Linked DNA regions of Caenorhabditis elegans. Each later gene encodes a partner of the first gene's protein in a complex. Each region holds a gene or a part of one and is shown in the gene's direction. Other genes may lie near its edges.

Evidence for each region. Proteins that work in one complex are often made in the same cells at the same time.
Region 2: cdk-8 (region 1) and rgr-1 share a complex: the UniProt entries of both Caenorhabditis elegans proteins name them as parts of the mediator complex.

Annotation. Positions count from the first base shown.
Region 1 is NC_003279.8:8,693,206-8,704,065, forward strand, and holds the start of cdk-8 (Cyclin-dependent kinase 8), read left to right. Parts: upstream 1-9,260; 5' UTR 9,261-9,356; coding exon 9,357-9,361; intron 9,362-9,410; coding exon 9,411-9,650; intron 9,651-9,774; coding exon 9,775-9,962; intron 9,963-10,013; coding exon 10,014-10,110; intron 10,111-10,159; coding exon 10,160-10,295; intron 10,296-10,341; coding exon 10,342-10,463; intron 10,464-10,513; coding exon 10,514-10,612; intron 10,613-10,860. Other genes in the region: asg-1 (putative ATP synthase subunit g 1, mitochondrial), read left to right, coding at 15-185; K07A12.5 (Pre-mRNA-splicing factor SYF2), read right to left, coding at 288-450, 497-799, 848-965, 1,010-1,104, 1,151-1,269, 1,316-1,453, 1,569-1,680, 1,733-1,874 and 1 more; pbs-7 (Proteasome subunit beta), read right to left, coding at 2,158-2,439, 2,517-2,628, 2,674-2,852, 2,904-3,009, 3,056-3,087; F39H11.1 (Craniofacial development protein 1), read left to right, coding at 3,402-3,500, 3,549-3,781, 3,829-3,873, 3,949-4,111, 4,161-4,295; tlf-1 (TATA box-binding protein-like 1), read right to left, coding at 5,111-5,167, 5,244-5,310, 5,363-5,679, 6,590-6,868, 6,915-7,010, 7,058-7,294, 7,554-7,669, 8,136-8,217 and 3 more. UniProt on the Caenorhabditis elegans protein: Component of the Mediator complex, a coactivator involved in regulated gene transcription of nearly all RNA polymerase II-dependent genes.
Region 2 is NC_003281.10:9,388,577-9,395,805, forward strand, and holds the start of rgr-1 (Mediator of RNA polymerase II transcription subunit 14), read left to right. Parts: upstream 1-5,527; coding exon 5,528-5,671; intron 5,672-5,722; coding exon 5,723-6,803; intron 6,804-6,900; coding exon 6,901-7,229. Other genes in the region: putative transporter slc-17.2, read right to left, coding at 1-677, 750-937, 1,432-1,456; gpr-2 (G-protein regulator 2), read right to left, coding at 2,833-3,053, 3,106-3,713, 3,764-4,264, 4,318-4,565. UniProt on the Caenorhabditis elegans protein: Component of the Mediator complex, a coactivator involved in the regulated transcription of nearly all RNA polymerase II-dependent genes.

The DNA of each region.
Region 1 (10,860 bases):
AAAAATAACTTCAGGAAAGTCTCGTCTACTCGGCAGTTGCCCTCGAGGTAGTCTTTTGGTTCTTTGTCGGAGAAATGATTGGACGTCGCTACATTTTCGGGTACATTGTTCCAGCCAATTATGTCTCGAAGGATACAAAGGCTAAGGTTGCCGAAAAGAAGAGACTCGCTGCCCTCGAAGCTTAATACATCGATAAGCATATTCATTTGTGAAAATATGTGTTTTTTCTTCAACGTTTGTTAGATAAAAGAAATTAAGGCTTTATTTTTCTAGTTCAATACAAAAAATTACAATCCACTAGTTTCTTCTCCAGCCTCTCGAGTGTAATCCTTCCGATCTTCCTCAAAAGTTTCAAGTGCCTTATTTTTCACTGCATACTGTCTTTTCAGAGATCGGCCTTTGAAAACATGAGAAGTGATTGTTGGAGCAAAAATGATTTGATTCGGAGCGCTAAAAATAAAACTCGTTAGAGAAAAATCAGTTTCGAAATTCTTACTCGGTCGCATCATCCTGGCTTATTGAACTTGTAGAGAGGGTTTTATCTACAGATACTTGTTTCTTGTTGAATTCAATAGTACCGTGCAAGGTATTCATGAAAACAGCATTTCTTTCACAACTCTTCTTGTATCTCGCATTAATTGATGCCAAGGACTCGGACATGATGGTGTTTGCTGTGTTGCTAGGTGGTTCTGTTATTCCAGCATGTTTAACTTTCCCCCCAGCAGTCATTGTCTCAATCAACTTTTCAGCAGTAACCGTGTACTTTCCCTCTGGATCATCGTCCAACGTCATATCCTCTCTGAAATTCAAATATTAAGATCCAACGGATGCAAGCCACGAAAATTACTCTTCGTCTTTTGCCATCCAATAAATCATCTTTCCTTTCTTCAATTGCGAACGGGAAATCGGTTGTTGATACCAACTGGCTGGGAACAGGGCTCTTTTGTCGTCAGTGGTATTCACAACTGAAAATAAACACTCCGATTTCTGTATTGTTTCGTAGTTTTACCGAATTTCTCCATCGGGGCTGTTGGCTCTAAAACTTCTTTTTGCTCCATTGTTTCCACTTTTGTTTGCTTGGGATCGACAGGGGCAGCGTATAAGCTAAAATATGATAATTTCTACATAAAACCATTCGACCCATTGAAACCTTTTCATCTGATCGTACTCTGCTTGGGACTTTTTTATGTTGTCCTGTTTATCTTTCCTTTGCTCCAAACTGATTTTCTGTTTCTTACGAAGAGCGTCCAGTTCCTTTTCACGAGCTGCCTAAAGTTCATGGTTAAAGTAAATTTCTCTATAATCTCTATGTTACGTGATCACGAATCGACACAAACTTTTTTTGTGGAGCCAAAGTGGATAAGTAGTATTCTTTCAATCGTCCAAATTCTACATCAACTTTCACTCCTTGACGATTGACAACCGTATTGGCTCGTTGCATCTTTGGATGGCGCTGAATTTCAAGAAATAATGTATTTCTTTTTAACTTTTTAGATGGATAGTAAAAACCGTAATTAAGCACTTCCTTTGCGCGGCGAGATATATATATATATATACTGTATGCTTACCACGTCTGAATTTTTCGATTTCGAAACGTATTGAGACTGCGTATGAAAGATTTCAACTACTTGCTCCTTTCGAAATTCTTCCCAATTTTTCAGTTGTTTCTGAGCATCCTTCCTGGAAACCAAATCAGATAAGTTATTACATATACATCAATTTATTTAATTACTTGTGAGTTTCATACTGATCATCACTCAGTTTATACCGCTGCTGCATCTTCTTTTTGTAGCTCATCTTCTTCGCCTGTTTCTTTTCATAATCAGATTTCTGTTTATCAGGCGATGGTGATAAACTGAGCTTTTGGAGTTTACCTGAAAGCGCTCGATTTTACTTTAAACCAAAAACTCATCATACTTTTTAAACCAGAGAAATTCATGCTCGCTATTTTTGACTCGAGCACTTGTGAAATGATGCGTGTGAATACTTAGACGTGAATAGAAGGATTAAATGGAAGTTTATTTATCGACTTCACGCGAAAATAAATAAAATTTACACCGAAAACGTGGGTTGGAGAGAGTAAAATGTTTTGAAAAGAAGGATACAAATAAGTTAAACATGGAGATACTGAAACGCATCCTGCACACCGGGGAAAACTTATTCATATTGACAGTTAGTCTCGGCAATCGACCAGTCACCAATAATCTTCTCTTCTTTACCCAAAACGACACCTTCTGTCGCATCAACACGTCCGATTTCGAACTCATTGTCAGCGACGCAGTCGTGGTAGAGAGTAAGTTCAAGCGATTTGCGAAGCACGGCTTCTGCCTCTTCACGGGAGAGGTCTTCTCCCTTCTTTCTCCACTCATCTTCAACAGCTTGGTTGAGGAGGAACGCTCCAAGTCCAGTTGCAATGTGCTTCACTTGATATGCGCATCCCTGAAATTTAGAATAATTATTATGTGATTATTTAATCATGAGATTCTGATCCGGCAAGTTAACGCTTTCAAGTTTACCTTCTGAGTAATGACACCGATGAAAGGTGTGCTAGTCTCCTTGTTGTTCTTCTCCTCCTCTTCGACTCCGGCGACAACAAGTGTGTTCCACACTGGGTTCATCTTGCAACGTCTGAAATTTTTTACTTAAACTTTCAATTTAATTAGGAAAACAGACTTGGCGTAGAGAAGGCTTGTGAGGTATCCGTGGAGAGCTTTTGGTCCAATATCCTGATCGAAGCGCTTCCAGAGAAGAACCTGACGCTCGATCACATTTTGAAGCCAGTGGAAGTCAGCGTGATCTCCTCCGAAGGCAATGAGAACATTATCATTGACCTTGTATTGACGAGAAACATTCTGGAAACAAATATTATGAAAATCCACTTTCAGCTGAACGGAAATTCAAACCTTGTAACGAGCCATTTTTCCATAGGAAACAACTCGATCAGTAAGGACAACAACCCCAGTTTTATACTGGAGAGCGATAACCGATGTTCCGGTACAAGTAGGATTCCTGAAAAATTGAGTTAATTCAAACGAATATAGGTTTAATGACTTACAGTGTGCGCTGGACTTCGTCGTGAGCATTCATTTTGGTTCTGAAACAATATAAATGAAGTTTTTGAAGGGAGTGCTTTGAAAAAATGAAAGGAAGTGAATTTCGACAATGAAATGCAAAAATGGCGGCTAAGTCATCATAAAGCATGTGCGCTCCGTCGAATTTTACACTGAATACCACGCACAATTGCGTACTTCAATAAGAAAAATTATCTCGCGCTACTTTTTTTGAGATAATATTATAATATAAATTAATTCATATTTTATAAATATATTAATTCATATTTTATTCTTTTGAATTCTCACTGAAATTGTGAAACTATTTAAAATATAAATTGTTTCAGAAAAATGACCTCGGAGCTTAAAAATAACGAAGAAGACTACAACTCATCGTCCGATGAAGATTACGATCCAACAAAGGATACCGATTTTGATCCAAAGGATGAAGTAAGCATTCCTAGATATCGCCCTTTTATTGCTCATTCTCCTCAACAGATCGATGATCAAGAAGAATGCGAAGATGGAATTGACGAAGAAGTTGAACATCTGAAAAATGAAAAACAAAGTGACGACCATACATCAGAAAAGGCAAACAGTACTGAAGGAAGTGTTGATGTGGATGCGATATTTGCAGAATTAACTGGGCTAGCACCGAAACCAGTTGTCAACGATACATCAAGCAAGAATATTCCAAAAACTGAAGAAAGGGTGTATCCAAAATCAGCAGCGTATGTTTGAAACAAGTAGAAATAACTTTTAAAAATGTATTTTACAGATCTGCATCCAACGAGTCTACAAATCAGAAGGTTTATCCGAAAAAGTGAGTTGACATGAGTTTTTATTTGATACAAATTTAAAAACAACTTTTTCTTATTTTTCTAATAATTTTTTTCAGAACGGAAACAGCTGGAACATCGTCTGAAAGTAGCATTGTACCCGGAAAGAAAAGAGTCGGCTTGCTTGATGCTGCAAAATCACTGTCGAAGCGTTCTAAAATTTCTGTTTTGGAGAAATCTGATCGAGATTGGAAAGATTTTACGACGCAAAATAATTTAAAAGTATGTTTCTTTAAGTTTAAGGTTTTTGAATAAATTGTTTGTTTTTCAGGAAGATTTGGAATCTCATAACCGAGGGAAAGGCGGTTATCTGAACAAAATGGACTTCTTAAACCGAGCTGATAATCGCCAGTTTGAAAAAGAACGAGCGTTCCGTGCAACAGCTCGTAAGGACACTGGACAGTAAATAATTCTTTATTTTTTCAATTGAATCTTTTTTGTGATTTTCTGGTTTCTTTGACAATTCGTAACTTTGAAAAATTCATAAACCTTCTGTAAAGATACGGACATTGAAATTTAATCATGAACATATTTAATGGACAAAAACGAGAAAAATGGTAAAGGGAGACAATAACTAAATCTAGAAAAAGGATGAATCATGAAAAGGGAATTGTAGAAAAATCACATTCTAAAATAATTAAAATGAAATACAACAACTTTGGGAAAAGGTAGGTTACAGTTTTATAATACGAACTCGTTTGTTTTTAAGGACTTTTTGTGGAATTTTTGCGAATTGTTTCAGAACAAAAAAAAATCTGCTACTTGTTTTTAAAACTGGGATTCATGAGGAAAAATAGATAATGGAAAATAAGGAAAAATTAAGATTTGCTGGGCTTGAGGGGAACATGATGAAGACATGAAGTAGAGAGCACATAGTGGGATGTGGAGAGAGAAAGAGCTAGAAGGAAGCGAGAATTGTTTTTCTGATCATTGTGTTAATTTTACAAAAAAATGGATAGGAGATTGTGTTGATTCGATGATGACTTATGATGTTGATGATGGTAACGGCAAACAGAGAAAGAAAAGAACAGGAAAAAAGCGGATAAAGCATGAATTTTGAAGCACACAGAACAATTGAAAGAACAAGATATACTGGAAGATAGAAAGCTAAAACTAGAGAAATTATGACGAGATGATGTAGAAAGGTAATCAGATAATGATTGCAAATTGAGATTTTTTAAAAATTACAATGAATGGGTAGGCTGCATCAATTAGGTACAACTATTCTTCTAAATCGAGCTCATCATACAGATCTTCATCTTCATCAGAGAAATAGACCTGAAAGAAAAATGTGTTATTTTAAAATTAAATTTGTATTATTTTCAAACCACCGAAACACTTTTTATTTGCATACCTGGTTATTGATAACTCCAGAATTTCTATAATTGCTGTCATCAAAGCGTTCGCGTTTGATTGGTGGTCTAAAAAATTATTTTATTTTTACATTGAAGCCAGAATTTTACAAATTTTTACCCTCTGTTAACAGGTGCCTTTCGTTTCCTCTTCTTCTGAGCAGCGACATTTCCTTTGGCTCGTTCGAGACATCGGAATTCTAGAACAATTGGATAGATCTTTGAGAGTACTTCGAGAACATCGGCTTCCGATTGAGCTCCAGTGACTGTAATTGAGCCAGTCGTATGAATTCGAAGAGTAGCTTTTGGTGTCACAGATCTCCAAACAAGACCAACGGAAAGTTCAGGCTCATATGTGGATTCTGATGGATATTTTGCTGCGACTTCTTCGATTTTGATTCCGAATGGAAGACGGCACGTGGCCAGAACGTTGTTCACCTAAATTCCACATAAACTTAATAATTAGATAAATATTTTAAAGTTGCAAAATTTTATGGTATTGACAAACACACAAAAACGGTATCGCGCGTGGTGTCAGAATGTCCCATCACAGTCTGATCTACAAAAAATGAAACGTGACGTAGAGTTTCCAACTGGTGTCGCACGGTTAAGAATGTGCTGACGTCACACTTTTCTGAGCAAAAATACCCGCACTTATTGTAGATCACACCGTGATGGGACAACCTGACTCTACGTGGTATCGTAATTTTTTTTTTCAAATTTTGAAATGGCTCTTTAAAGGCTCACGACTTTCTTCAGATGGGTCTCGACGCGCAAAAAGTTTATTGTAGTCTTTTTCTTCAATGTTTGCGTTTTTCAATGAAACTGCACGGTTTTCAGCTTTAAAAAAAAATTCTGTTAAAAAATCTGTTTCCAAATGGGGGCACCACGGTTTCAAGATCTGGTGGATTCCGGTTCTACGTTTTCCAGATCTGGCACCAAAACGTAGATCCGGAACCCCACCAGATCTTGAAACCGTGGTGCCTCTCCAAATGTTCAAACTTCAAAAAAAAAAGAAAGATTACCATAAACATTTTGCGTGCCGAGACCTTTCTGAATAAATCCGTGCGCCTTTAAAAAGGCATGTAAAAATCTGGTGAAACTACGATACACGGTCAAATAATTTTAGTACACTAGTTTGCACGACTGACATTTTTACACTTTTCTTCAATTTAATTTAAATTTACAAGTAATAACTTTAACAAAAATGAAACATCTTTAAAAGAAAAAAAAACAAATCGGAAATGGCGGAAGCTACTGTACTTCTTGAAGGCGAACTTTTTTTAAATATTTTTTTTTTAATAGATAAATTTTTTTAATAGATAAATTGAAACTTTTCAAAACTTGCTCGATAATTTCTAATCGAAACTCGTTCTTTCGTTTTTCCCATAACTCGCTGAACATGTCTGGCAATTGAACGTGCAGCTCGTTTACAATCCGCCTCACTCCGGCAACCAACAATATATACTTTTCCAGAACTATATACTTTGATATAACAACCAGGCGATCTTTTTTGTTTCATCATTACTCCTTTTTCTCTTTCATATGTCACGTTATGAGTGTTCATTGCCAATTTTCGAAGATCAATGTGCAAAGGGAGTGTATAATTACAAACAACATTTCGAATCTGGAATATTTTCAAGTTTTGATGATTGATTGCTGTTAGAAAGTACCTGAATATCGATATCACCATCATCTGGCATTGGTTCCTCATTGGCAGCCGATGTACCTTCTGGAGGAACATCTGGAACCTCAATTTTGACAGGAATCTGAAAAATGTAGATATGAAACATGAAAATGTACATTCATCTGTTACCGGCTCAGGTGAGGGTTCTCTCAGTGGCACTGCCAAATTCATGTCACGCGGCACATAAATCTGCGGATGTGGCTGCTGAGCATGGTGTTGGGCCATCTGATGACGTGTCATTTGTGGTTGAACCATTTGATGTTGCTGATTATGGTGCATTTGTGGTTGACGATGTTGCATAATCATTTGATTTTGTTGAGAAGGATGATTAAAATGTTGTGGTTGCTGGTGGTGTTGTTGTTGATTCTGTAATATCCTCTGATTAATTTTGGTGAATATATCTGAACCAGCCGTGGACCGCACCTACGGCGCGGCCCCCGACTTTTTTGAGAAAACACATTAGATATACGGTGTCTATCGCGGACCTCGATCGATGTCTGTTGCGCATTTAGCATAAGGTTTCCCAAAATTTCGTTGCTCTGATCAGAGATCAAACTACATAGGGACAGAAGGACACGCGCTTTATATATAGTAAATGATAGTAAATGATAATCATGAAACATACCTGTTGTTGTTGTCGATGTTGTGCTTGCGCATAGCTTATCTGTTGTTGTCCTTGCTGATTTTGTGCCATAAATACAGCTCGATTTTGTTGTTGAATTTGATTTGCTACTTGCTGTCCTGGAATTAAATTTAAAACTCTTTTCAGTTTTTCAAACAAGAATGTCTTATACAACACGTAATGTGAGACCCAACACACGAGTTTGAAATTTTCCAGAATTATTTTGATTGTTTTCGATTTTTTTTTGTTTGCAAAAACAGTGAAAATTTAATCAATATTTAATTTTTCCTTTTGGAAAATATGTGAAACTTCAATCGTTCAAAAATCAGAAATCGAGTTATTCGAAATGTAAATGTAGAGTTAATTTGTGTCTAGAATATTATTCCAATAAAACAATTAATTATTGCAGAAACATATACGCGATTCTAGATATACGTAGTACTTGTATTCTATTGATAAAACACACGGCATCCGGAGACCGTAAATAAATTGAAATAAAACCGATTTAAAAAAAAAAATATTTTGTTTTGAATAACATCAATTAAATATTGACTATCAATTTTCTAAATAAAATTAAAAACTTACTCTGATAACCTTGTTGAACGTTATGTCCTTGCACAGGTCGCATTTGAACACCAACTGCAACATTTCGACCCGCTATCGTTCCCTGCAATTTCTTTTGAAAAATTAAAATAGTTTCGTGAATTTGAAATTTTGTTTCAATTCTTAGAATTTGTTATGTTGATTGAGAAACTGATAATAAAGACTTACTGGATGTCCAAAGTTTACTTGCATTGGTTGACCACCAGGAACTTGGCGAACATAGGCAGGACCGACACCATTTTGCTGAATCTGACGTACTCCCGGGGGTAGTTGAACTATCTGAAATAAACTTTAATTCATAAATTCAAGCATATGTCTTGTCTCGAACAAAATTTGATTATATTCTTCAAAATCTCACCCTCTGCTGTCCGTTTCCGTCGTGATGAACCGTTCGAATTCCTGCCGTTTGCACATACGTGGCATTTTGTGATACTGCACCACCAGCTTGTGCAGGCATCACTTTTTGAACGTAAGTTCTGTAATATCTTTCGAGTGTTGTTATTGGATTTCTTGATCCAAATAACTAAAACTGAACAAGCTATTTTTTAATTCAACTCATACCTCTGGTTTCCCATCATTTGATGATCACCCATTTGCATTTGAACTGATCGGCCTGTAAATTTGAGTTGTTATCTTTTGAAAACTCGACAAATGCTAAAATCTGCAACAACGAGAGAGCGAGACTTCGTGAGAACATAAGAATTTTTTGATTTATGTTAGAAAATTCTGGAAAAGTTAAGAAATATTTATTTCCGACGACCAGTTTATTTTAAATTCAGACAAAATAATATCCAAAATACAATATTCGGTTTGTTCATTCTAAACTGATTTGAGGCAAACGCGGTTACAGGATCGATTGAAAGCGTTATTCGCTGCCAAACCAGAGTATCCTCTCTGAATGTGCATTCCTCCTAGTTATTTGTCTGTTAGACATGTGGCATTTATTGATTAGTTAATTTATTGATTTTTCAGTCTTAACGCTGTGTTCTTTGGGAAGAAGAAGTGACGTTCGGCGAGAATTTGCCACAAGAAAAAGTGCTAGAAAACGAAGACCGACGAAGATGTCGTGATATTTGGTGTTTAGTACGTGGGTGCAGTGTTTGCGGACTTCCTTACCGTACACTTCAATTTTAATTTTCGTTTTTCTGGACATCGATTTTCCTGGCATAAAGACTGAGTAGTATTCGCTGTAGTAACTGAAAAATGACGTAAGTTGGAAATTTGCACTATAAATAAATCAGAAAATCCCTATTGCAGATTAATGATTGATGAAAACTTCAAAAAACAATTGGCACAGCGTCGAGAGAGAGTAGAAGACCTTTTCTACTTTGAAAATTCAAAAGAAATCGGCAGAGGAACATATGGATTAGTTTATAAAGCAGTTCCGAAAAAGCAAAATGGACAATTTCCTAACAAAGAATACGCATTAAAAATGATTGAGGGACAAGGATTTTCAATGTCTGCATGCAGAGAAATTGCTCTATTCAGAGAATTAAGGTAATTTCACCGATTAAATAATATTAATTTAAAATGAAGATTGAATTCGAGATTTTCCCCTTTTTATAATCTAAAATTCGAAAAAAAAACTGAAGTAGATATTCAAAAAAAAAAAATGTTTCAGGCATCCGAATTTAATCTGTCTTCAACGTGTATTTCTTACCAACGAAAAAAAAGTCTGGCTTTTATTGGATTATGCTGAACACGATCTCTGGCACGTTATCAAACATCATCGAACAGCTAAAAGCAAGAAAGTCCCAATTATGGTGCCACGGAATATGGTCAAAAATATATTGTTTCAAATTTTATCAGGTTTGAAATTCTAAAATCCAATTTCACTCAACTGTATTTTAAAATATTCAGGAATGCATTATTTACATTCAAACTGGGTACTACATCGAGATCTCAAACCAGCAAATATTCTATTAATGGGTGATGGACCACCTGACATGAGAGGAAGGTTTGACTGAATTTGAAATTTATGCGATAATATGAAATAATAATTCTAGGGTAAAAATTGCTGATTTGGGATTTTCAAGAATCTATGCAAATCCTCTGAAACCGATGGCTGAATTAGATCCAGTAGTTGTCACATTCTGGTACAGAGCACCTGAATTGCTTCTCGGAGCAAAGCATTATACAAAGGTACGTTGAAAAATCTATTTAATAAGGAAAAAATGCATAATCTCAGGCTATTGACGTATGGGCTATCGGATGCATTTTTGCCGAACTTCTTACCGCTGAACCATTATTTTTCTGTAAAGAGGAAGACATCAAGGCACAAAATCCATATCACTATGATCAAGTGAAAAGGTACAGATTTTTTGGAAATTAAAATCATTAACTATTCGAAATTTTTAAAGAATATTCCATCTACTCGGATACCCATCAGATGCTGATTGGCCTGATATGAAGAAAATGCCGGATCATCAAAGACTTCTAAGCGATGCTAGAAATGAAGGGTAAATTATAATATAAAAGTTTTCAAATTTATTTTGATAGATTACTTAAAGGCACATTATTTTTTTCAGTAGCGTGAATGGCTTCAATGAAACCGAATTAGTCTCAAATTAGGAAATACCACAAAAAAAGGAAAAAAAAATCGCGAAAGAATTAAAAATCCAAGATTAAAAAACGAGTCGCTGATTGGTCGCAGTTCTCATTTAGGTGGCAATTCAAACAATTGAAAATCGCGATTTCAAAAGTTGGT
Region 2 (7,229 bases), on another chromosome or scaffold:
AATGATGGAAGAGATACAAGCATCGTGTATGCTCCCCAATCACCGGCAAAATGTCCAGCCCAGCAAGCCCATACTGCAGGAGAAGTTAGAATTTTGATCCATGGAGTTGATGGCACTTTTCCAGTATCTTTTCCCATTGAAGCCTCGACGGCTGTTACGATGTATTGTTTTTCTTCAGGTGTAATTCGAGGATGGGTAGCTGGTTTGTCAGAGCTAACATACCACCAAACAGCAGTCCAGAGAACACCGAAAACTCCAATGATGTAGAAGATCGACGGCCAGCCACCATCAAATCCGTACTCGCAGAGGAATCCAGAGAGTGGAAGTACAATTACATTTCCGATTTGAGCGCCAGCATATGTAACTCCAGTTAAGACAGATAATTCCAGAGGTGGTCCCCATACAGACCACATTGTGTGCATTGCAGGGAATGTTGCTCCTTGAAGAAATCCGATTGCGGCACGAAGAATAGCCAGAGCATATTCAGATGTTCTGGCAGCGACAGGATTTAGCAGTGTAAGGAGCGCAGATCCAAGAATCGTCACGAATACTACTCGCTTTCCTCCGTAACGTGAAGCTAGATGTCCTCCGATAATTTGACTTCCAATGTATCCATAGAAAAACGATGAAAGAACCATTCCAGTTGTTTGCTTGTCCCAATCGAATTCTCCAATCACCTAAAAAAAGTTGCATGATTCTTTATCATTCGGTTTTCAAATTGTTTTTTTTCATCACTGAATAAACCCTACCGAGCTGTTGCTCTCCACAGGTGTCATTTCCTTTCCACAACGAGAGACCTTCTCCACTCCTGTGTCCGTCTTATTCTCATTAACCATACAAACAACTGCGAACGACATATTCGTACGCATCATGTAGGTGACAAGACATCCAAAAAACATGACCAAGGACAACGCAAAACGCGTGGATGGCACCAGCCCTGCAAAAAAGCGTTTAATCATTTATCTTTTCTTCTTTTTTTTTCTTTTATGAACTTTTTTCGGTTTTCTTCTGGTATCTGTTACACTCTCCGAAAGTCGATCATTAATAAATCATTCGTCTGCAAACTTCAGAACAGTTTGGAGAGTCACGACCAAACTATCAATTTCGGGTGCCTGTCAGGGCTAAATAACATTTAATCTTGTTAAAATTTTTGAAAAGGCTTCGAATAGTACCTGAAAGTTGCAATTTACCGAAAAATTGTTTTAAAAACTATTAACGGCAAACGGCAACTTTCAGGTGCCATTTGAGATTTTTCTCAAGCTTTTCAACAAAATTAAATATTATTTTCGGATGGAAATAACTTTTTATACATTTTAATTTGCCGCACAGATCCGGTGTATGTGTTCAAAATTTTAAATTGTATTTGGTCTTCATAGTTTCTACGTTTTTTCCAAAAAAAACTAAGTGGTTTTTACTTTACGATCAACTCACTCGGTTTGGTAGTAGCCCCTTCCATAATTATTGGCTCGTCGTCGAGAGCTTCTCACTATTTTTCGTATATCGACGAATCCGCTGGGAACCGACTGACAGCCTGAAAACAAAAAATCAGAAAATTCAAGTGATAACAAAAATAATTGAAATATGTTCCTCGATCAAACATATAATGTGGTGAAGAAGATAAGAAATGCGGCAACGTAAAGGAAGAGCCGCCCAAGCGGCAGGCCAACTCAAGAGCTCTCAGGACTAATTGAAATTCGTTGAAAATCGGATTTCACTACTTGGACAACAAGAGGGTGAAACTCAGATGACGTTGTTTGAGATAACTGCTTCTCGCTAAAACAGAATAAGAAGAAAAAACAGAAGGCGCGGTGAGACACATGAGAAACAGAGGGCGGTTATTTGGAGCACGGCTAGCGCGCAAAAGTGATGCAATGTGATGAAGCTGGTAGAAAAATGGAATAACAGAAAGGGAATTTTATAATTGGAAAAAATCACCATACTTTCGTGAAAATATTAAGAGATTTGTGTAAAGTGCCTGACCAGTTAATAATATTTACAATGTTGGGTAAAGAGCGTAGGCATAATTCAAAGAGCACCGCCTCCAAATTACATGTTTTCAGTGGAATCACGCGTTTATATTTACCTAAAACAAATTTTCTTTTAAGCTGACCGATTACCACACTTCTTATACTCCGAAATTTCGTGTTTCTATTGATAAGACGGTCAGCGAAAATGACCAAATATGATGGGAAGAGCATTTTCCCATCAAGATTCTGATATTTTTTGAAAGAAAAGTATTTATAGAAGGAAAAGACTAACGCAATTGAATGAAAAAATAAAGAAAAGTGTGTCAGAGAAAAGAAAAGGTAACCCGATACGACAGTTTTAAGAATTGCAAACTTTACGCCCTCCAATGTCGGAGATTTGAGCGTTCAAAAAAATTGTTCACGTATTTCAAGTAATATCATATTTAGCCGCTCAAAAGTATTTTTAATAGGAGAAAAAACATAAATCATTTCGGGTCTAGGTTTCGCCTAAAAACTGAAGAATACGAAAGGATGCAGGAGAATGGCGCTCGTTCCCTCGGACGCTGGCAGTCTCCATCTCTCTGCGTCTCTTTACTTTCGATATCTTCCGGATTCCGAGGTCACTAACCATGAGCTTTTGAAATGACGTTGGGAGGGCACGTGGGGAAGTTCAGAGAGAATAACAAAGTTCTATAAAAGTATGACTTGACGGATATCGCTAATTGAAAAAAATTAGCTTTACTGACCATCAAATAAAATAAAATTATAATAAAGAACAACCACTAAAATAATAATAACATTTACTTAAAGAAAGTAAAAAATAAATAAAGTTTGATTGTATTATTTGACAGAAAAAATAATGGTCCTATTTGGACGTCATTGTCACATCATCGCTTCGAGTATCATCGCCCTGTATCGAATTTGTAGAATCCAATGACGATTTGCTTTTCTTCGACCTCTTCAGGATCCTATTCATTGTGTGACCATCGAACTTCATCGACTGCACTTTTGTCCAATTGGCACGGAGTCCAGGGAGAATTCTGTGGCTCTTTGTAGTCTTTTTCGATGCCGATGACACTGGACGAGCTGGAAAAATATAAATTTGCATACATTTACGCTTATTTGTAATATTTCTTACGCGGAATGAATCTGGCAGCAGACAGTTCAGTTCTCTGATCATCCATACGCGAGCTCATACTGAAAATGAGATCCATCATGTCTACGGGTTCCTCGTTCTCTTTCTTTTCGATCGCTACTGGTTTCTTCTGGTCTTCAATGATTCCGTTGACAATCATTTCCCAGGTTTCAACATTTGTTGCGTGCTCCAGTTTGACGACGAACTTATTAATCATGTCATTCGAGGATGTCGGATCAGGAGACGAATCAATTGCGAGGCATGCATCTTGATCAGTTGCCGTTTCGCTTCTCTCTTGATTCATCGCCACGTCGATCTGCTCGTAGAACAGTTTGAAACTGCTTTGGTTGATGGTCAGAACACTCCCCAAGATGATAAAATAAGCAGCTTGGCGTCTTTTTCCAAGTGCAATGAGACACTTTGCGATTGTAAGCAACACATCTCCAATGTGTTCGTTCAATCCAAGCTTCCGAATCGATACAAGCGCTTCCAATCCGTAGAGATATGCTTCGTGGAATTCGCCATTTCTCAGCATCTCTTCGGATAGCTTCGACTTATATTTGACTACATCTCGCTCTTTTCCGAATTTCGTGGCGTAGAAGAGAGCACTTCTGTAAAAATAGAATTGACATTTTTATTAATCGTTAAAACTAAAAATTACCTGAGATCTCTGATAATAAAGAAAAGAAGATATGTCTCAGCATAGAGAGCCTTGTCGTAATAGGCGATGTGAACTGCTTCAAACTGGTCTGTTTTGATGGCAAAATCGATGCATTCTTGATACTTGCGACGCGATTCCTCGTATTTTTCGTCGAGTGACAAGCATTTCGCCTCAATTAGCATAATTTTGGTCTCAGACACAGCTCCTTCCGTATTATTCTCGTTGAACAATTTCACGGCTGCAATCTGTTCAGCACATATTGACAAAAGCTTCTTCTTCTCATCTTGATTACTCTCGACGTCTCTTTCACATCCTTCGAGGCACACGGAAGCGAACAAAATTCGAGCTTGACCGATATACTTCTCTCCGTTCTTCTTATTGCTGGTGTAATCAATGAGATCCTCAGCAAACCGTCGAGCCTTGGAGAACTTTTCCATTTTGAGTGCCTGCTGGACGATGCGACGTGTGGAATCACATGCTTCTGGGTAGTTGAAGATCAATCTGAAAAATTAAAGTTATAGAATGCCCAGCCCATTTCCGTTTAATTCACTTACTTGAACATGTTCAACTCATGTTCGAAAAACTCCAAGGCCTTGGCGTCGTGGTTCAAATGCCTGCACACTCTTCCGTAATACATGTAGATTGTACCAAGCAGTTGAAAATTGGAGGTTCCGAACTCCATTGTGTCCTCTAAGCGTCCTTTTCCATCCTCGTATTGTCCCAATTTCATGGCCGTCACCGCGCTTTTCAGCATTGCTTCGATGACTTCATCCTTAGGGCCATCATAATAAGAGACGTCCATTCGTTTTGCGAATGTGGAAACTTCTGAAATAAATCGAAAATTGCGAGCAAAAATAAAAAAATAGAGGAATTTTACGCAAACAGACAAAAATTTCACGCGGATCTGCACGAATACACGAAATATTTAAAACGGGGAAAGTTTCTTCAAATATCTCACGAGGTTTAATAGACTATTACACATTTTGTTTAAAATTTTACAATTTTTCAATAAAACAACCGCTGAAAAACAAATAAACTTGAACAATGACTCGAGAATCTCTGTGGGGAAGTGAAACTTGGCGGTTAACGCGTTGTTTTTTCGCGCGCTCTCAACTTCTAATTTAGCGCCGCTTTCTGATATGTCGTCAAATGTGTTGCCGATGTACGCAAGTACACCATCACGCGCATTTGCACACTCAGTGGAGTTTGCAAACAAATTTTCAAAAATAAATTAAATACTGTTTATTGTTTAATTTTATGCATATTTGTACAATTTGAATGTTATAGTTTGATTAAAACTATTCGAAACATGTAAATAAACTTTAAATTTGTAAATGTGTCGCTTCCCAGACCGTATATTGTGTATTCTTCAAATAAATATGTATTTCGCAGAAACTGTCTTCCCAACTCCGAGCCGCACTGGCGGATAATTCGCCGGCTGCTCCAATATCACCGGCTCCATCTGGCTCGGCCTTGTCACTCGATGAGTCGTCTGGAATTTCAGACCGCGATGTACATTCTTCTCAGGAACAAACGGCACATCTCTCCGAAGTCGATGTAAAATCGATTCATTCATCGGATAGCGAAGATGGTATGCTGCAGTAGAACAAGGAAGATATTTATTTTCTATAATTTCCAGAACCAGCGCAAAATCCCTTACCAGAAGTTCCTGCAAATTGTGGCCCTCCGACGATACCTCTAAATGTTCTATTAGACTTTGCAATTCAACATGTTTACCACGAGATCACAGTTCTTGCGGAATTGATGCAGCGGAAGACAAATGATCAAGGAGAGCAGGAGCGGAAAATGTCTCTTGTACATTTTGCACACGCTACTCGCAGTCAATTTTTGAAACTTGTAGCATTAGTAAAATGGATACGGATTTCGAAGCGAATGGATGTTTGTTATGTAAGCTTAATTCGCTCGATTTCGATCGAAAAAAAAACATTAATTTTCCAGTCTATCGACTACCTTCTCGATCTCCAATCACAATATTTCATCGACACGGCCGATCGATTAGTCGCAATGACTAGGGGAGATCTCGAATTAGCTCGTCTTCCAGAATACCATATTGCGCCAGCTATTGATGTTCTTGTATTAGGAACGTATAATCGAATGCCATCGAAAATCAAAGAAGCTTTCATTCCTCCAGCAAAGATCACACCGAGAGAACAGAAACTCGTCACTTCCCGATTAAATCAGCTCATTGAAAGTCGGCTTTCTCGACTTTCAAGCGGAATCCCACCAAATATAAAAGAAATTCACATCAACAATGGACTTGCAACTTTACTGGTTCCTGGAGAGTTTGAAATCAAGATTACATTGCTCGGTGAAACAGAAATGACAAAGTGGACTCTATTGAATATCAAAATTCTCGTGGAAGACTACGAACTTGGAATGGGACTTCCTCTTGTACATCCATTACAGCTTAATCAGCTTCATGGAGTACTGCAATCTCGGATGAATGTTTCCTTAAATCCTATTAAAGAAGCTTTCTCCTTTTTGCACAGTTTCTGTGTTTCACTACAATTGGATGTTTTGTTTTGTCAAACTTCAAGATTGGCAGCTGGAAGGTTACGTGATAACATTACAATCGAAAAGTATGACCCAAAAGAACGAGTTTTGGTAGTTGGATACTGGGTTAAAAGATCGAAGAGTCGAAGATTAACTGTAGGACAAGTCAAATGTGATGCACAATACAGAGTTCAGATCTATGAAGATCCAAATGACAAGCTAGGTGGACTTAAAGTTCGTCATTTCCCTCATGCTCCTCAGCTCGGACGACTTGATTCTGGAGCTGGAATGTTGTCAATTGATCGACTATTATCAGAAACATATGTGGTCAGATGTAAGGAACGATTGATGCGGTTGAGAAGAATCCTTGAAGCTGCTGAACCAAGATTAGAAGTGAAGATGACTGGAATCTCTGCACCGTCACTTTCTCTTGCTCTCCTACCGGATACCTCTTCAAAGGATGAAATGATGACGGTATCTGTGAATTCATTCTGTGGAAAAGTGCTCTGCAACGTTCACATTCTCAGTGAGTTGTGTCGTTTCAAATTCCAGCATATTAATTTTAAAAAAATACTCTATTTTTTACCAAAATTATAAAAGAAATAAACTTATTCATATTTCAGGTGCTGAACACGAAGATGTCCTGGCTTTTGGAAAAGCTCTCTACAGTAGTCAATGTTCAGCGCACACAATTCAAATGTATCTTAGAAAACTTCGTGTCGCCCTCGTGATAGAACGATATCGACGATCAGTGAAAGCTCTTCCAGTTCGTGAAGTTCAAGAAGCTGAGCTTCTTCCATTTGCAAAGGAATGTCTTGGTGATGCTCCTGCCCAACGAATTATTCTTCAGTTCCTTCGATCTGAAGACTATTATCTGCTTGTCACATTCTCTCCCGATGAAAAAGCAGTTGTTAAGACTCACATTCAACTTTTGGAAGTTGTTGGAGACCGA